Lytechinus pictus: one gene and its partner. The protein of the gene in region 2 purifies or fractionates together with the protein of the main gene of each other region. This does not show direct contact. Links are inferred from orthologs where the notes say so. Each region holds a gene or a part of one and is shown on either strand. Other genes may lie near its edges.

Evidence for each region. The genes of interacting proteins can lie anywhere in the genome.
Region 1: the proteins of transforming growth factor-beta receptor-associated protein 1-like (region 2) and vacuolar protein sorting-associated protein 33A-like purify together in Homo sapiens (co-immunoprecipitation; 5 studies listed by BioGRID and IntAct, with this or other methods). This does not show direct contact. The link is inferred for Lytechinus pictus from reciprocal best matches to the Homo sapiens genes TGFBRAP1 and VPS33A.

What each region holds. Positions count from the first base shown.
Region 1 is NC_087246.1:16,837,256-16,847,631, forward strand, and holds the start of vacuolar protein sorting-associated protein 33A-like, read right to left. Parts: upstream 5,247-10,376; 5' UTR 5,036-5,246; coding exon 4,886-5,035; intron 3,901-4,885; coding exon 3,835-3,900; intron 3,390-3,834; coding exon 3,150-3,389; intron 830-3,149; coding exon 725-829; intron 288-724; coding exon 171-287; intron 1-170.
Region 2 is NC_087250.1:18,851,425-18,862,590, forward strand, and holds the start of transforming growth factor-beta receptor-associated protein 1-like, read left to right. Parts: upstream 1-6,366; 5' UTR 6,367-6,380; coding exon 6,381-6,524; exon of another isoform or gene 6,525-6,724; intron 6,725-8,195; coding exon 8,196-8,312; intron 8,313-8,770; coding exon 8,771-8,823; intron 8,824-11,166. UniProt on the Homo sapiens protein: Plays a role in the TGF-beta/activin signaling pathway. It associates with inactive heteromeric TGF-beta and activin receptor complexes, mainly through the type II receptor, and is released upon activation of signaling.

The sequences.
Region 1 (10,376 bases), on a different chromosome or scaffold from region 2:
CAGTGGATCTGCAGAAGAAAATCATGCCTACAATATGAAGAATTGCTCTTCCAGATGAGCCAATATTCTCACTCTTCATTTTGGAAGATAAATTACTATTTTGTCAATTACAGAAATCTTGGTGGGCAATATATTGTTGGTATTGAGACAGAAGGTCACATGTTACTTACCCGAGAACACTCTCCTTTTCCATATATATGTGGAATGATGCCATAGAGAGCTTGTATTTTCATCAATGACTTGGCAACATGGAACATGGAAGTAGGATCACCTTGGAGATAACAGTCCTAAACAAAATACCCAAAAAAATTAACAAGATTTGGGTTTAATAAAATAAAAATAAAAATGCATTTCATCAATTTCATTTTTCATCACTCTCTTTGGAACAAATTCCCTTAAAATATCTGACAGATCTCAACTTATTCAATTTCTAAACATAATTACTCAACAACAATCTTTTTGTTTTTCTTGGGTTGTAATAAAGTATGAATCATTTATTTCATGAAAAACCCAATAATTCTTTTCTATTGGATGATCACATTTTCTCATGAATCAGGGATTCAAGAACTAATGCTCATTTCGATGGCACATTACGCTGTAACTCTAAATATCATGAATACATTTATGTATGCCACAGCTAAGGTAGAGCCGGCTAATCACCCCCCCCCCCCCATACCCACCCCCTCACCTACCAACATCTATTAAAGAGTACATATATACAAACCTTGAAGGCAGAATCGGACTCCATAGATAATATATCACTATCAAAAGGTAAAAGATCCAGATTATATTCTCCTACTGTAGTCAGTGTTCCATAAACCCCAAGCTCCTGCAAGGGAAAGGGAGAATCCGTTAGAATTGGTATAAAACAATTCATAGATGAGGTGGTGACATCATAAGCTTTTATTTTATTTTTGGTGAATGTAAAAGATGCTTGAAATCAAGTAGTTTTCATAGAGAGTGAATTACACTACACATAGCTTTTTGTGAAAAGCATTATAAATACCTGTCAGAGAGCAACTGCTGTAAGGCACAACTGGATAAGCTGCCAACCGAGTGTCAAATGCATGAGAATATATGCACATAGTAGAATTGCGCTATATAAATGGATATATTATCATTCAATTTAAATTCAATTCAATTATCAATTTTATAAAATGTAAAGCACATATATGTGGATGGGGAATTACAATATAAGCCTATGGCTGGCAAAACAGTGATCCCCTACATACATACCACCTTTACTAATAAAAGAAGTTTGTAGAATAAGTAGTTTAATTCTAAAGAATTTACATTTCAGTCCAGGTCAGTTTCATAACACTGTCTTAGTTCTCTCATAGCAACTGGTTTTAGACGCACCAAAATGCACATCAATATTTTACCCGATGTTGCATCTGTACAATCTGTCTTTAGTGATAAAAAAATATTGGTTTGCCACATTCTAGTCATTAGTAAGGTGATGCATACCAAACTTTATGAAAATTTGGCTTTAACAAACACCCAGGGGCGGCTGCACAGAAGCATTGTTAGCGTAAAAAAACACTAACAGTAGGGCCAGTCACATCTTTCACGGGCGACCACCGCCTAGATGCATTGTTTTCACTAACAGAGCACTAAAAGTAGACCTACCGATATCGATAAACTCACAGAAGCTTAGCCGAATTCCTAATAATCTAACAATAAAAGGCCCAGCAGAAGCTAACAGTGGCGCTAATGTTAATACAAATCACTAACAGTGCCAAGGGCACCAATAGTGACGATGTTAGTGAATAATTTCTCCCTTTAAAACTTGTCTCCCTTTCTTCTTATACCAAGTAATTTAAAATAGACCTCGACCGAATTTCATCAAAATCTGATTTAAAAAATAACAAAATTCTTTAATATTAAAAATTTAATACTGTATTTTGCAAATGATATTACTGAGCAGCATGTGGCCATGAATATGCAATAAATGGAACGATGATGCCATATCCTCTAGCTCTTTCCCCTTTTTCTGATTTTATTGAAATGAACTCGTAATTGTCTCAAATGTGTGTATGTCGCCCGATCTTTGAAGCAATATTCTGGGTGGACAAAATTTAAATAAATCTAATTTTGTATGATACAACAGACTCTCATTGCATATTCCTGAAGACATGAATACAAATTTCACCGAAATAGGGCCTCATGCAAAATTTTAATATACCATAATTTGTTATATTCATTTCCAATTTTTATTAATTTGTCAGTGTTTTATTTGTCTCACTTTACTGTTCAAACCGTATTATTTTCTTCAGCCTGGAGTACCCCTATAAGTATGGGTATACAGCGGGAGATGTTGATTAGTGCCAAGATATGATCCTTTTCATCAATATTTTTTTCTTCCAAGATATTTTTATTGAAGACATTTTTAAGAATAGACCCTACATTAGAAAGAAGAACAATAGCTGATGAAATTTATCATATGATAATCCTCACTGGCAAATACTCTATCATGAGCATGATAAGTGAAGTCTGTGAAGAGCATTTTCAAACAAATAAACTGATGATAAGTGGGATTGCATTTTTTTTTGTACAGAATCTCCATCGTAATATCATGATAGGCTAATTTTCTTGATCTTTTAAATCCTTTTCAATATTTTAAAAATTAAATTAGTAAATATATACTTGCTGTCATTTCATGTTTAAAATGTAATAATAAGGAAATTTTTTAGGCCTATATAACAATTAATTACATTCCTTTACCCTTTCCTAGACAAGATTTTAAACTCGTAGGATGTGCAAATAATCATAACTAAATCTTAAGTTAAATCTAGATCGCTACGCACAAATTATAGATTTTGCCTAACTCAAATCCCCTAACAACACTTGTGCCTAACGGTGCCTTAACAGTGCTTTATGTGCCTTCTGACTGTGCGGTCATTCTACCCATGTTGTTAGTAGCTGATTTGTTAATGAATAATGATATACAGATTGTGATGTCAAGCATTGATCCCAGATGTAAATAATGCATTACTTTGACATTAGCCATCGCGACGAAATTACCAGTTGTAACAGGTCCCTTTCTTAGTGCAATGTTACGCTAACAGCGTTTCTGTGCGGCCGATACAGGTCTCTCCATGACCATAAAATCCCTGAGTTTTAAGCTGTTTCAATGTTAGGGAACTTACCGTCAACTTTCTCTCACAGAGAAGACTCTTCCTTGGCACAAAGAAAATGTGGAACTCTTTGCGGAAGCGTCCAGGGGTTTCCTCCGCCTTGCGGATATTGTCTGCAACAATTGTCATCAGGTCCAATCGAGGGCGCACAATGAATATAACATTCTGGATAGTACCACCTGCACCACTGGACGAACTCTTCAAAGGCAGATGACCATGTCGAAGGGGGAACATACGGTCAACTTCATGTTCCTAAATGAAGAGATATGAATTTGGCACTACTTACATGACAAAAATGATGTAAATTTGTTATAATTTCTTTGACATAGTATCTATAAACTAGACAAATGAGACTTTCTGAACAGCTCAAACTTTATTCAATGTACAAGCTATGGCCTATATGCTACCCTACTACCATACAATGACAAAGGAAGAAAGTTATTTTTTTAATGGTATTTTTGTGTGTCCAAGTGAACTCGTCTTCAATGTTAGATGGAAGGTACAATGGCACTGCATAGATACCAGTGTTAACGGTATTCAGAGATAGAACATTATTTTCAAATACCTCTTTTTTTATTTTATTCTATTTCTTCTTCATCAAGACTGTCTTCTTGTCAGCTTGACCTCCCACAACTAATGTTGTAGTGCAAGAGCAATAACACCTTCATCGATCATTATACAGCTGTAGACAACCTACCTTTAACAAGGAATATTCAGCGATGAGCCCAATAGGTCCCGTAAGAAAATCATCCCAGACCACTGCCTGCATGTAAAATGATGATCGACAGAAGAATACGGTAATATGGTTCATAAACAAAAGTTATGTATGACTAGTGACCTGTTGTGCTAACAATAAAAAAAAATCCCAAGTGAAATTTTGATTGTAACTTTCATTTGATGAATATTTTGTCAAATTTGAATTGAATTGATTTGAATATTCAATTTAATAATTTTTTAGGACCAATTAAAAAAAATAATCAGTATCATGCTTATTTATTTCTTTTATTAAATATTAAATATCACAATTCTTTTGTTTTGAGGACTTGTTTTTTTTTTTACATAAATGTCACATTTTTGTTACAAAATTGTTTTAATAAATCCCCAGAAACGACGTTATTCCTGTAAAACATTAGATTTAGATACCAACGACTGGCAACGTAACTGGCCTGCATAAAACAAAAAAGGTGTAAATTTACAATCACCCCTAACTTAGACCAAAAGCTTTGGTCTCAGTTTTATTGGTTGTTCTGCTGAACTCTGTTGGCTCCACTCACAAATTATAGACTGAAGTAAGTCACTTTTTCCCCCCTTTAAAAAGTTTTTTTTTGTGTGTGTATTTAAGGCCAAAACTGAATATTAATCTTCATTTTGGTCCAGTTCTATAATATAGGCCTATATTTTTATGAAATAAAGACAAAAATCGAAGAGCCGGCCCGTCGTTTTTTTTTTGTCTTGTTAACCCCCCAGGCCTAATAATGTATAGCTGAGCTGAACCGATATCCAGTTCAACATGTTCAATACAATTACAACAGAGTCTGACACACCCAAGTCCACCCCCCTCAAGTCCACCCCCCCCCCCCCCCCCTTTCCCGTAATCATATGCCCCAGTCACACAACAGGCTCGTCAGAGTCGTGGAACGTAATTAAAGTTAGACCTAGGCCTAGGCCTACTCGTTAAATTTGTAAATTTGTAAATTTGTTGTAAACGAATTCTAATCTAAGTTAAGCAGTACATCAATCAAACTCACCTTACTCCCTATGCATTTGTCCAAACAATCTAAGAGTTCTCTTCTGGCAACTTCTCTCCAAAAGGCTAAATTCACACGTCCACTGACAAGATGTGTGGCCATTTTTTTTTCTTCGTGGATATATGCATACAAAATGAACCGTTGCTGCATATAAATTTGTGCAAGAAAGACCGCGGAGGCCGAGCTAGCTCTAGCTACCGGGGCGCGGCGGCGCGGCGGGCGGGCGGATCGGAGACCACATGTACGTAGCTAAAAAAGGCCAAACAGATTTAGTTCAAGAGAGTGGTTGATTTCATACGCAGCGCGCAGGCAATTGCATAACTAGGCACGTCCCCACTCCCGTCGGCCTACAAAACAAAAATAAAAATATACGGAGGAAAGGGAAGAGATTAGGAGAAATTAAAGAAACAAGGTTAAAAGAGAATAAAAAAGAAAATGGAAATATTAGAAATATCTTTAAAATTCAACCATTGTTAAATGACCGATAAAATTTGAATTATTTTACAATATCAAAAAAATATTCCTTGAAAATTTTCCAACTGATATCTCGGCATGCAAGTCCATACTGAAGAATTAAAATTTATTGATACCCCTAGCTGTTACAAATTAGTTTTAATCCACGGGCGGCTGAAGCACTAAAAAATGCCCCTATTAGAAAAACAGTGCACCCGGCTTACTAACTTTTTCACTCGAGTGCCTCTTTCATCTTCATATAGTGAAAGGTCAAGTCCACCCCAGAAAATGTTGATTTGAATAAATATAGAAAAATCAAACTAGCATAACGCTTAAATTTCATCAAAATCGCAAATGACTGACATTTCAGTTTGGCTCTGTTATTTTTCACAAAACACTGAAATGCACAACACAGTGATATGCAAATGAGACCCTCACTCACTATTTCTTTTGTTTTATTGTACTTGTTTGAATTATACAATATTTCATTTTTTACAGATAAGTATGACAATAAGGGACCAACTTGACTGAACCACACATGTATAGCGTTAAACAATGATAATGAATTGCACATGTTTATGGGGGAATTAATCGTGTTTCACTTGACAATTAGGAGAAAATTTCATATAATAAGATACAAAAGAAATATGAGTGGATGACGTCATCAGTGTCCTCATTCGCATACCGACCAGGATCTGCATTTTATGACTGTTTTGTGAAATTAAGCGAAACTTTAAAATGTCATAACTTTCTCAATTTTGATGAAATTTTCAGCGTTGGGCCACTACAGTAAATATATTTACCTATTTTTTTGTTTGTAAAACAACCATAACTGGTCTCCTTTATTCATTTCATTTCAAAGTAGTACATGTGCATCAATCTTTAATATTTGCCTCCATTTCTGGAGAGAGATACACGGTTTTCTATATTGATCAGGGGCGTAACAGGGGTCGATGGCCGGGGGGGGGGGGGGTGGGGCAAGAGCCAAAAATTTGCCGGTCATAATCATGATATGAACAGGCAGTGTTGTAACGAGGCAAAATATTTGAGAGGACCAGACATGGCGTACCCGGCAGAATTTATTCAAAAAACAAAGTTGCGAGCGAGCAGAAAGTCACATTTTGTGACAGATTTTGACATAATATTCAGAAAATGATATCATTTTTCACCCTTCTCTCTTTCCTTTTCTTTCCTTGTTAATTTTTTTGTCTGGATACGCCACTGTGAACAGGATTCTTTTTTTTTTAATGATTGTGCGCGAAGATCTATACATGCGGGCGGCGGTATAGCGTGAAGAGTATAAAAACAAAAAAAGAGGTGCACTGCAGTATTATGGCGCATGAGCCAAAAAGCTGCGTAATACAAGTCCAGAGCGAGCGAAGCCAGCGAGAAAAAAATAAACATTTTCATGAGAATATAACTTTGAGACATTTCTGACATTATATTCAGTAAATAGGCTCCAACATCATATCTTGCACTTTTCCTTTGCTTTTCTTTCCTCCTTTTCTTTTTTTTGTTTTTTTTGTTTTTGTTCGGGTTGTAGAACTTTTGGGGGCCATGGCCAAACCGCCTGTGCTATGCGAGTGGGAGAAGCGCATGCAGAGCCACCGGAACCTCTTGATATCAAAGCCATTTTAAACCTTACAGAATTTTAATCGAATCGCAGATACATACAGTATATATCTTTTACACAAAATTCAACGCAGTTGCGCAATGAGACAAATATTTTGAGGGGTCACAAGATAGTAATGTGGGAAAATCGAGCGAAGCGAGCCCGAAAATGGCCTTTTGAAATGAAATTCTAATGAATTATTTGATAGATTTTTACATTAAATTCAGCAAATAACATATTTCATTGTTTTCCATTCATTTCATTGCGTTGCCTTCTATTTTTTTTTATTCCCCCTTCTGTGTGGAAGCAAGATCCCCCCTGCACGCCAGTAAAAGTTTAATGTAGGAAGGAGGCCATACAGGGTCGTTCCGGAGCCCTTTGAAGGTTACAGATGAAGAGCCCCTATATACTGCTTGGGGTATATGGGGCAGAGCCCCCGGTAGCTTTGGACATTTAGCCAAAGTAAACACTTGAAAGACTTTTTGACGGTAACTCTTGCCAGCGTAAAGCTTGCCTATATAGGTATAGGGCATTATAACGAAATAATAACATGAGGATTTCAAGCATTTGGCTATAGGGACATTTTTGTCCTGATTGCGACCATTATTGCATAAAATTTAGCAAGTTTAATTGTAGTCCATCCCTTCCTTCCTCTACCCCCTGCTACTAATTATTTTTAATCCTCGGCAGCCCGGTCGTGTTATTACGTTCTTTTTTTTTTTTCTTGTCCCTTGAGTTTTTTCGTTATCCAAATTAGCTCTTGGCTCATTCCATCGGGTATAAATTAATTTCCCGCCTTTGTTTGCTATTTGGATCATCTTTTAATTTATTTTCCGTTCTAAGTAATCATGCTAATGTATAATAGGCCTATTTCGGAATGATTTGTTTTTTCTCACATGTTTTTCTTTCGTTCCTTTTCCCGCTTCCCTTCCGTTTTCCATTTTTAATGTTTTTTTTCTATTCACCTTTTCCCTTTTCCTTTTCCTCCGTTCCTTCCCCTTTCCTTTTCCCTTTCTTTCTCGCTCCCTTTTCTCGTTTTCCCGGTGAAATCTGCCGCGGGGATACACTGGACGTATAGCAAGTTTTCAACATAACAGGTGAAAAAAAAATGTTAATTAGTCTTTTAATTGTTATTTTTCACTTGGATTCATTTCCAACAAAACTTTTATAAAAAGCAAATAATAATTCAAAATAATATCTATATCCTTTTTCTTTTTTTCAACTGATATCAATACTAGAAAATAGGCCTATATAATCTGCAAACGAAAATTTAGCAAGAAGTATTTTTTACTTTTTTCCCCAAAACATTGCCCTTGTTACATTGCAAGAAAAAAAACATGCTAACAATCTCCTTTTTTATTTTTACGTAATTATGATATCGCCCATATCGCAAAATTGATATCCGTCCAACATCACAATGTTGACAATAGGGAAAGGTTGGCAAAGTGTCAACATATTGGACCAACGATGTCGCAAAGGTATTGTTGGGCCAACATCAGTACAAAGTCAACAATTTCGTCAGTCGCGAAATGTTGGCAATTGGAAAAAACACATTGTTGAGCCAATGGGATGTAAATATAGGCCTATATACTTTGACCTGGTATGACAGTCATCACAAAACTTATATTGCGCCAGCAACATCACAGTGTACGTTGACATTAGCATGTTTATGAAAGGTCTAGAAAGCCCCTGGACTGAGTGTCAAAATATATATCTGTTCAGTGGGCCAAGGTTAAAATCTAGACTTTTGCATGTTGTCGCAAAAGTTGTAATAATGTTCTAAGGAAACTAAATTCAGTACTGCAATTGAAACCACCGATTTAATCTTGGCGATGCTGATTGGTGCGAAAAATGCACATTCATTTCCAATGAACAAATTCAAGCACGTGCCCTTGAATTTAATTTATTGTGTATGATACTGTACACCACTGGCGGATCCAGGGGGGGGGGGCACAGCCGGCCCGTGCCCCCCTTTTGAGAAGCAAAACTAAGTTTTGTAATGTAAAACTGATGCCATTAAAACAGAAGTGTGCCCCCCCCCTTTGAAAGTGAATACTTTTTTTAAATATCACTTTTTTTTAACCCCCCCCCCTTTTTTTTGCTTGTCAAATTTTTCCTCGGAAAAATGTGCCCCCCCCCCCCCATTTTGGAAAATCCTTGATCCGCCCCTGCTGTACACTGTTAAAAATACTAAAATTTCACAAAGAAAAATCGTAATTTACAGGATGTTTACCTTTTAAAAACAGACGACACAATGATTTAACAAACCGAACGTATTTACGCAGATAATATTGTGTAACATAGAATTTGTATTATTGCATGGGGTGTTTGTGTTGATTTTCATTTGAATATATAGACTTTTACTACTCCAGAAAAAGCTTTGCGCGTTATTTGCCATTCTCATTATCGGGCACACACGAATGTTCTTTTCAAAACTCATGGTATTCTTAATATAAGATACATGATCTTTACCATTATAATCTTGGATATACAACCTTAGTAGAGATGAACTATACCAGATGTATTTATTCTATGTTTACAAGGAATATCAATATCCATCCCTAACCTATACAAGATCTGCTGGACTTTTCCATTTACCTAGAACAAGGACATTATTAACAAACAAACTGTTCATAATTATCTTCTGCTGGCATCAAACTTTGGAACTCACTTTCACTAGCTTTACGAAATAAGCATACAATATAGCTTCAATAGAGCATTAGAATATAACCTCATGCACTAATAACCGTACACTCAAATTATTCATTCTACTTAGGATATCTTGAGGATATCTTCTATTCTTCCGTATCCCCCCCCCCCCCCCTCCTCCCTTCATTTCGCTTCTTTTCCGTCTCTGGCTCTTTTAATTTGATCTATACCTGTGGAGATTTGTTTTTTGTTTGTTTTCTTTTACTCGTTTCTTGACTTTTTTCAAGTTTGTCCGTTCTTGTTTTGTATAACATTTTTTTCATGCCTTATCCAGCATTCTTTATCTTTTACTTGGGAGAATATGATAAAGAATATATTCAACAAGGATTTACATTTAATTTCTACAAGAAAGATATGATGATTTGTATATTATATATATATATTTTATTTTGAACTAGTACGATATGATGATTTTGTATATTATATTTTGAACTTTGTATTTTGCATTAATATGTCTTATTTATTGAAGGAAACCTTCAATAACAAACTTTGCTTTTCAGGTTTCTTTTTCATTTTTATTATACGTTATATCATAATTAGCTTTACTTTGTAACTTAATTGAAATTTTGAAATGAAATGAATTTGTTATCAAATAATCAATCAATCAGAATTATAAGTTAAATATAAAAAGACAAAGTAAAATATAATCTTTGTAAAAATACAAATGAACTATTGTGTTTTTACGTTGATTGCAGTGCATCTATCGTATAAATAGTG
Region 2 (11,166 bases):
ACACAAATTTTGTTCTCTGTGGGTGATTTTTTTGGGGGGGAATCATTGGCTTTATGAATCTATTTTTTATGTTAATTGCTATTTCATAATGTAACCGTTCATTTCAGAAACCGCAAGAAACAACTGGATAGAGAAAGAAAGTAAAAATCCAGGCCAGCTAGGATAAACTGGAATGTTCATGTTATATGTTGTACATGGCATTATCTTTTTGAAATTTACCCGTCACTGCAACTATTATTAAGCGCATTGGCTGTACCCAGTTTATTTTACCCCATTTTGAGTATCGATCACTGATTTATTTATTTATTCATTTATTTATTTATTCATTTATTTATTTATTCATCTATTTTAGTTTATCTATTTAGTCATTTTTTATTTTTTTTATTCATTCAGGCTCATGATGTAAAATAGTTGGAGAATACAAGCGAAATGATAATCAGAATATCAAAAAGAACCCCCAAAAAAGAGAGAATTAGGAATGGAAAAGAAAATGGTGCACTTTGATAAATATTTTGAAATATCATGTAAAAATGACCGGAAATGACCAAGGTTAGATTGTAAAATTCGCGCTTGGCTTACTTGTAGCTTTAAAAAGATTTCGCCCTCTCCGCCATGTCTGGCCCTAAAAATATTGAGACCCACTAAAGGCGTACCCCCCCCCCCGAAAAAAAAAATATTTTGTATCAGTCATCCCCCAAAACCATGAACACAGATCGTCACCCACGGAATTGAGAATTAATGCATGACGAAGGCGAGAAAAGAAGAAGGGAGAATGAAAAAAGAGATAAAAAGAGATTTTGATGATTTTCAATTACATAATCAATGGCATTTGTTGATTGGACCTGAAAAACACACAAATGCGCATGCACACCCGGCGATCTACATTATTTACTTGGACTGAAGACAAAATTAATGAACTCGGTGATATATATAAATATATAAGTTTGCGTTTCAAAAATACGTTTGTGCTGGATCGAAATACATTACTCCTTCGAAAATGTGAAGGCTTAAACTATGATTTTCAAGAGACCAATTAGCACGGAACATCACCGTCTTGCATGTCTCTTCGATCATCGTACAGATGTTAAAATATTCATGACTTACTTCTGTCGGGGGTAGGGACACTAATTGATTGAGGGGACTAAACTATTTTCACTGCAAGGACGCGAGTGCTGTTGTGGGTTTGGGGTCCTGGACCTTGTGGTTCAAATTCTGGAGACTCTTTCACTGAGGCACAACACCTCTAAATAAAACCTACATGGCTATAACAAGAAACGTAGCAAGTACACAGCAGCGTTTTTTTTGTCGAGCGAATTAGGAATCGTCCAGGGCACTAGCGTACCTACAGGGGGGCAGGGGGGGCACTCTGCCCCCCCCCCTGACGAGCCACAACCCATACAAAATACATATCACTGCCCCCCTGACGAGCTTGAAAGACCTTTTATGCCCCCACCCCCTTACGAGCTTGAAGACCTTTATTGCCCCCCTGACGAGCTTGAAGCCCTTTTTTTTTTTTTTTTTTTTTTTTTTTTTTTTTTTTTTTTTTTTTGCTTGTCATTTTTTTTTCTGGTACAATAACCTTTATTTTTGATTGAAGACCTTTTTTTTTTTATTTTTTTTTTTTTTGCTTGTCAATTTTTTGGGCGGTCGATTTTGCCCCCCCTGTGGAAAATCCTAGGTACGCCACTGGTCCAGGGCCATATACCCATGCAGGATCAAAACTTGCTTGAGCAACAATTGCTTAACGGAGATTTATCACTTTTTTTATTTTTCCAGGGTATCATTAGAACCCTGATCATGGCAATGTCAACTCTGTTCCAAACTCCTCTCAAAGCCCAGCTGAATCGACCTCATGGTGTTGTGCTGCACAAGGACAACTATGTCGTGGCGGATACGTATAACAACCGTGTAGTTGCTATCAACCCAAGTAATTCATTTTGGACAGTCCTCTGCTCCCAGAAGAACTTTCTACCTTACGGCATCCTTGCTTTGTCAGAAGTTGATGACAATTTTCTAATAACGGATATGGGTAAGCAGAGCAAAGGATGCGTGTACGAGTTGAAAAATGGGAAGCTAACTCAATGGACCAAAGGTTATGCAAAATTCACGAACCCAACTGGCATTGCAAAGCGAGATGGAAAGGTGTACGTAGCAGATTGGGGGATGAATTGTATTCATGTTTTCGACATGAACGGGAAGTTTGCCCACAAGATAGGAGAAGGTAACTTAGACAGTCCATGGTTCATTGCATTCAACTCAAAGAATCGCCTATATGTTGCAGATTTTAAGGCTATTCGTATCTTTAATCAAGATGGTAAATTTAAAGAGCGCGTAACAATCCCGACTTCAAAACTGTCTTGGCATTACCGAGGCATTGCCATTGACAAGGATGACAACATCTTCATCACTGCTCGCGCCGATACTTCTCGTCTACTTTACACGGATGAGACAGTGACGGTGTTGGATAAAGACCACAAACCGATTGGAGATGTCACTCGAGGATGGTGGACTTTCAACTACTTGAGAGGACTTTGTGTTGATAGGAAGAACAACGCAGTTGTAGTGGTTGATGGCGAATGGCACAGGATTCAATTGATCTCATACAATGTGCTTATGGAAAATTCAGCGTAGGGAGTTTATTGCTATTTCACATCACAGTATTGGTGTCCTTTTATTCCGGATATATATACCCTATTTCCACAAAGCTTACACAATGAGATCACTAGATGCTGTTTCTTATTCGGACATGTATATTATACCGGATATTATACTATTGTATTGTATTACCAGTTATACTATTGTATTGTATTGTATTGTATTACCAGTATTGTATTACCAGTTGTGAGAATTATGTTTTCTGTTCGCAATTGTCTGCTTCCTTCGCCTTTTTATCTTTCTATGTCTTGTATAGCTCTGGCTACCCTTTCTTATTCCTACTCTTTATTCCCCCTGCTCTCTCACACTATCTCTTCAGACTCCACCTTGTTTTCCTGACTACCACACCCTCTCTCTTCTATTAATTTTCTCCCGACTCTCTTTCTCGGCCATTCTTTTGTTTTCCCCTCTCTATTTATTTTTATATTGTAAGTGCACATTCCCTTGATACTTTTTAATATTTAATTATAATACGTATTTGGAATTTGTTACAGGCCACCTATCGTGTAAACATTGTTACTACAATTCAGAATTTCTGCTATCGTAATAATGTTTTGTAATTTAGTAATTTTATATAGTACTCTGTAAATCATTTTGTATCTGCTTGCTTGAGTTACGATGAATAAGTACCATTATTATTATAGGATGCCATTAAAGTAAATTCAAATTTCGTAGAATTCAGACTGAATCTTCTGAAGGTACATTTTCAATCTTTAAAATGAGAAGAGATAAAACGAAATGAAATTAAAGTGTGCTAATCCTGACAAGCTACACCAACATGATAATTTGCTATTTCGACTATTAAAAAAAAAATCATATGAAATATCAAATTCCTTTTAATTAACGCGAGACGGACTACACCTAGCCCTCATACCACCCTTTCACAAGGTAAAAACAATCGTAATTTGAATGATGATTCCAGTGAAAAAAATAAGGCTAATGACGAATATTTAGCACGTGTGAAATCAAACTAGAACCTAATATTAGAATCACGAACGATAATCAAAGTCACGACTGCAATTGCAATCATTATTGCATTGATGATTCAAGATTCGCGTGTGGAAACGCCCTTACTTTATTTGAGCTTTTTGTGTATTGGATTTCGTCTTCGGTGAATTCTTTTGAATTTTGGGGACTTGACGCAATAATAGGTCTGCTGTTGAATCAACCATGTCATGGTGTACTGTATCAGAATTTGGTTAAGATTGAAATTTTTAATGGCCGGCCACAACATCCACGAACATAATTTCGCCGTTTTTACCAATCCTCATTAAAATTGTTTGAATTATAAAGGTTTTCCCGTCCAATTTCATCAGAAATGCATTTAAATTAGTAAAAGGACGTTCAAATTCGAAAGATTTTTGTCCACCCTCTGCACACATGGTTCAATTTTAATTTATACAGCATTCAATTCCATTTTATATCATTCCTTTGAATTTGTAGAAATTCAATTTAGAGAGAGATTCGTTCAAATTAATGGCCCAAAGTTGTCATTGAATTTCGCTACGACGGGCTGATCGATCGTTTAATTTCGCCTTAAATACTATTTTCAATTTCGTTTATCGGGACACATATTTGCACTTTAAACGTCCAAATTCAGATAACATGTTCGTGTTCATTTTTTATTACTTTATACAATATTTGTTCAAACTTTATCTTTTCTTTCTATTTTTTCTGATCTTTTTAGTTAGATTCATTTTATTCCATTATCTTTGATAAAGACGTAATTCATGTAACACTTATAGGATATATGGGTGTAAACGGTTATTCTTCTTTTTTTTACATAATTATGATTTATATTGTGTTGGGAAAGGGATGAGAAACATGGTATTGAACATCCAATTTCAAAGTAATCCCATTTCCATATTTATTCAAAAGACGTAAAAAAAACACCTACGAAAAACACTGTCCATGTCCTATAAGTAATTGCATATTTATGATTTTGAATTCCTAAACGTTCGCAAGGAGGGTACCGGTGATAATTTGAAAACACTTTTTCAGCTATTTCAATTTGATCGTTCTTTATACATGTTTAAATAATAAACAAAATTAAATTTAATTAAGCATTTGACCCTTTAAATGTTGATCTTATACATGTTATATTTAATATAACATGTATAAGATCAACATTTAAAGGGTCAAATGCTTAATTAAATTAAGTCTTTCAAATTAGTTGCAAATTGAATTATTACATCATTAAATTGGTTGATTTTTACAAAATTCGACGGGAAAACCTATATTATATCCCTTATTCAAAACGGAATAAATAAATCAAATCAATCAATCAATGGCACAATATTGATATCCGATAACGAATGTGGCACTTCAACATACCGTCAGGTGAAACCCTGCCCTAAGTATATAAAACGACTAATTATAAATTTGACAAAAATTATTCCTCGCAAATTTTGATTATGTATAGCAGATTGTATACTCAGTGGATTGTTATATCCATTCTGCTTAAAGTATTCTTGTTTCCCCCATTATCATGTACTGTTAAGCTATTAAAGACCCTATTCTCGCACAGCAATTTTGTTGTCCCCTGCTAATATAACGTGATTTGATTTAATAGAGAGAGTGAGTGAGTCAGAGAGAAATGGAAAGAGAGGGGGAGCAAGGAGAGAGAGAGAAAAAAAGGGAGGGGAGAGAGGGAGGGAGAGAGAGGGGGTAGAGATTTTCTTTTATCGCCAACTCGATCTTCACCCGTCCACTCATCACAGAATCTATCTTCTTTTCGTCTATACCGTCCATCAGGAATTTTGTCTAACAACCATTTTGTCCCAATCACTTCGTCTAAACACCAGTTCGACTGTATGACCATGTCGTCTCAAATCTAGCTGGTCTAATGCAGGGGCGACGGAATGGTTTTGAGAGTGGGGGTGGGGGGGGGGGGGGGGGCTTGGGAAGGCTGACCATGCAAAAAATCACTATCAGATGGTAATTTTTACGTTTTTGTACACGATTTTGGAGAAAAAAGGTGGGGTTGAAGCCCCATAGCCCGCGGCCCCTGTAATATCCAATATTTGGAAAGTTTTTAAACAACAATGAGTGCCATTGCAAGGATATTCCATTCTAAATCCCGATTTTTCTTTTTAAAATAGGAAATATGCAAATGAGGTAAACCACGTGATCAGCATCATCAGATTACTGGTCTTGACCAGTTTAATTTCAAACAATGAATTACTTTAGACCAGTTGACTATAACAGAGGAAAATATCTTGCTTTGATCTTAATCATAATTAAAGGAAATAATTATTTTAATGATAATGTTAATACTTGATAATTATGATAATATTAATAATAATTATTACAATATCGATAACAATGATAACAGTAATAAGAATTATGACAACAATGATCATAATAATAATCATTATGATAATTATAAGAAGAATGATGATAAAAATGATAACGATAATAACTTTCTCTGAATTGCAAGATTCATTTTCCATAATTCGTCAAATGATCTGACTTGAAATAAAGTAATTATTTATTGGACCAGTAATACCAGTTTGATGAAAAACAATTTAACTGGTATTACTACTTTGCTTCAACTGGAATGCAATTGTTTGAACTGGTCTCCAGTTGATTTTTACTGGTCCAGTTAAAAATCAACTGGCCCAGTAAAAATATACTGGAAACCAGTAAAATTCTACTGGAAACCAGTAAAAATTCTTAATGGTCTTACTGGTTTTTCCTTCTGGGAATCAATGCGTCAACTCTTGATGTTTTGTGTGTCGTCCTCTCCGATCGTGACCGGTATAGTCTCAAAATTCTGTCGTAAATTCACCGAATCAAAATCCCGGACGTCGACCCTCGGAGTCTTGCTCCCAATTTATGATACAAACCAGGCCTTAGGCTTAGAACATGTGAGTCTCATGTTCTTATAATATTGTTTTCTGTCATTAAGAACACTCACGGAGGTAATTTCATGCACCCAATTTTGAAAGTTGTTTGGTTCTGTTGTCTTCGGCCCCATGCATCCAATTTTGCGTGGGTAAAATCACTAAAAACCAAAGTGGGCGTTGTGAATTGTTTTGTCTGCGGGCTCGACTACTAACTCAGTACGGTAAGTTACTCTGTCTCTGGACTGAAGTCTCTGTATCCATATTTACACACAGGGTGAAATCGGTTTATAGGTGTGAATTTTTTTGATATTTGAACCTTCAAATGCGTATGAACTTAAGTTAAGGGATAAAATTATTAAATATTGGCCAAATCGTGGTTTCGGGAACCACTCGTACTTGTCGATTTGTATACGCGCACTTGTGTGCAAAGACAAAGTGAATGGAGGTGGAAATAGGGAACCGTGCATGTGACTGAATAAAGCACTGCTGTATGAAGTGAACGGTGGTTCCCAATATCACGATAATGCCAAATTATTTCACTTAATGGCAAAAATGAGAGGTTTTTTACGTACCAGACTGATCTCGTGTAGATCCTTCAATCCGTTTGTCAACAAAGACAAAAAAAAAAAGGGTCAAAGTACGGTATGTTGCAAAAAAAATAAATCTCAGAAATAAGGTGTTTTCTTCATGGCATTATTTAGAGCTCATCAACTTCAACTTCAATTAAAACATCCTTCCCAAGACCTTTAGTTTAAATAATCTAACACCTCATTTATCTCAATAGCCCCAGAAATAAGAAAGTTATTGTAGTTTTAAGGTCGTATAAATCGCCTATTCAATTCTTATGTATTCCTTTGTTTTTTAAGCCAAAAGTTGTGATCTTAATTGGGACCAAGGTACACTAAGTAATAGAAAACACCAATGGCAATGCGCATACATTGGCATATGGAAATGCCCAACAACACTCTCAAAAATTACAGAAGCCGCCGAAACAGGGACTTAAAAAACACACTTAGCGTCAGTTGATTTCATTCAAATTTCACCACAATATAGTTAAAATGTTGCTCTATCGGAATGAATGTACCTTTTAAATTGGGATGATACCTGTAAATATGAATAGCAAGACTCAGAGGTTGAAAGCAAGGCCAAAGTTCCAGTAGCACACAGAGTCGCAAGATCACCGAGTGAGAGTTTTTTTCAAGTCTAGACAGCTGCCATAAACATTCAACTACGTAAAAACAATGATGTCATGGGGAATAACCTTTCCATGCACATGCAAACACAATACAAAGCAATGCCCCCACAGTCACCCTGAGATTATAGGCAGCACACTCAATGCTTCATTCAGAATGCACCTAGAGGGCGCTTTTGCAACACACCTACACAAAGTACGGTGACAAAGCAAATACAATAGGTCTGACCTGTGAACCGCTTCGTTATGACGTACATCCGATTAGCGATGCCGTTTTGAAGAACAATTGATGGATAAAAATTATTATTTCATAAATTGTGAAATAATCAAGTTTCAAATTTTATTATAAAACCGATCTGCCCAGATTTGACAGTTGCCTTGAGGGTAATGCGGGTGCGAATGAATGGCTACTGCAACTTGCACATGTAGGTTTTTTTATGTAACTTGCTATGGTGGGTCTCTAGATATGTTTATCGTTTTTCTGGACTTGTTTATTATAGAAAAATTACCACGACATCATATCACAAGGCACTTCAAGGATGAGTGTGAAAGCTTTTGAACTGGTTCCAGCCGTAGAGAGGTTGAAGCTACTTGGGGAGAGAACAAGCAAAACTTCAGTAAGTTCAACTTACTTTTACTTTGATGTAGATGTCATGTTTGTATGTTCCTGAAGATAGCAGAGACTTGAAAGAATAGCAAATATTTTTTGTTTTCTTCGATCGATTAAATATCATTTTCATAATGATTTGAGCCTTCTGAAGGAAAAATTTTGCTTTCTCGTACAAAAAGAACTTCTGCTACACAAAGGACTTTTTGTGTAGCAGTCTATAAAGAATTTGGACTAGATTGCAATGTGATAACCAGGAAAATTATATTTCATATCCTTACTTAAATTGAGCCAGCAGTAGGATATATGAGGAGATATTTTTAGAAAAAAAGGGGAAACAAAGAAGGAGGGTAGAATAGTTGAAGAAGTTAGAGGTAGGAACAAGACAAACTGGAGGGAAATGAGAGAACAAATTTTTTTATTTTGTTTTGTCTTGTCCTCCTTTTGTCTCATCTTTCTTTCCTATAGATTGAATGTATAGAATGCTGTGGAAAGAATCTCTACATTGGGACAAGTGACTGGTAAGATTATACAATTATTTGTGGGTGGGTTCAATAATAATAATGATAATAATAATTATAATACACATGTATATGGGATTTGTAATGCGCCAAATCCACTCGGCAGAGTGCCCAAGGCGCAGGGAAAGAAAGAATGAAAGAAAAACTTACAAATATATTATTGATAGATTCAGGAACAATTAAGAATAGGAAGCATTGAATAGACGTGTCTTAAGGTAATGTTTAAATGTGTCAGTGGAAGTGCATTCACGGATAACCAGGGGAAGATCATTCACGAGAACAGGGACAGCGTGAGCAAAAGCCCAAACCCCCCATGTCTTAACGGATTTGGGAATAACTACATGTAGGTAACCAGAGATGGATGAACGTAGGGACCTGACAGTGTATTTGTTAATTAGATTAATATTGTACTGTGGAGCAGAACCGTTAATTGCATGTAATACAAGGAGAAGAATTTTGAAGATGATGCGATCATGATCGCGAATGGATGTGATAAGAACACTTGTGTTACTCCTGACACTTCCTATCATTACCCTGGTGTAGCATACATCGTGGTAGGACATGTGTCGATCTCTCCTTTTACATCATTTTGCCAACTCCAGTTTGTTATGCATACTATGAAAAAAAGGAGTGCAGAATGCTGAATATCAAAAGCACCCAGGTGCATCACAGTTTATTTCAAGTCAATATTAAAAAAGAGATCTTGTCTGTCTAGTGAGGATTAGGATTTATTTTGTTTTTCATTCAGTTTTGGTATATCCAGTTTGCTTTTTGGGAAATCTTACAACAAACACAATGGGCTCATGCATGTATATCATTACTCATGTTTAATTGAATTTATACAAGAGATGGGACTCGGTTTGATCTTGTATTCATATATACAATTGGACAGTGGAAAGGTTATTTGATGTTAAACAAAGAGAAGGAGAGGAAGACAATATGTGAAAGACATCATTTAATTCCATAGGTCCGTATTCTGAAGTCGGGTGTAACTTAAACTCGGGTTTAAAGTTGTGGTTTAAGTATGGATAGCCAATTGTTACATAAATCACTAACAGTAGAGATATAATATTTCACCTCATTTGGCTCTCAAATCATTCATAATTGTGTAGAAAGTATGAATAGATGATTGTCTTCACCATCGATGAATCAGGAAAGAGCACAGTAAACATAAGAAACATACAACTTAAGAAAAATTTTGACACTTTTGGCTTCCCATAATTTTAGCACAGAGTTTAATGGTCTAAGTTAAACCTGACTTCAGAATAAGGGCCATAGTGGCTAGTAATAACAACTACAAACTACAATTTGCCAAAGACAGATGGAGATGGAAATGATTGCCATCATAATGATTATTGTGGTAACAAAGCAACAAATGCAGGGAAAAATATCCTGTCTGACAGTGGCGTACCGTGGGTCACGGCATTGGGGGGGCACCAGAAATTTTTTTAGTCACTTAGTGAGCGCGCGAAGCGCGCTCAGTTGCCAGATAAACTGACCTAATATAGACATTTTAAGGACAGTGCCATTAAACGGATATGTATTTCACTGACCGCATAATGCGAGCGCGAGCTGAATTTGTTTTTATATTCAGACCTAAAAAGGGACATTATAAGCAAATTTTTGTAATCATGATACATATCTATCTCACTAAACAAACAATGCGAGCGCGAAGCGCGAGCTGAAATTTTTGTATACATTGACCCCAAACAGGGACATTTTGAGGACTACATTTCAGGAATCCATTAAGAGCATACATATCTCACCATAGTCATCTAATGCGAGTGCCAAGCGCTTGCTGATTTTGTTACAATTATATACATCTAAACAGATGAAACACTTTTAGTCATTGTAATCATGATTATCACACGCATCACACTAATAAAATATAGGAAATTCAGATCTGAAGTGGACATTTTAAGGCTTGTTTGTAGGAATTCACAAAGACCATGCGTATTTTATTAACCAAATGGTGCGAGCGCTAAGCGCGAGCTGAAATTCTTGTATATATTGACCACAAACAGGAATATTTTAAGGACTCTTTTTAAAGGAATCCATTAAGAGTACACAAATCTCACCATAGTCATCTAATGCGAGTGCCAAGCGCATGCTGATTTTTTTAGAATTACATATAAATGGCACATGAAGCACTTTTTGCAGTCATTGTAATCATAATTATCATACGCATTTTACTAATCAATTAATGCGAGCGCGAGCTGAAAAATATAGGAAATTCAGACCTGAAGAGGACATTTTAAGGCTTGTTTGTAGGAATTAATGAAGACCATGCGTATTTCACTAACCAAATGATGCAAGTGCGAAGCGCAAGCTGAAAATTTTTGA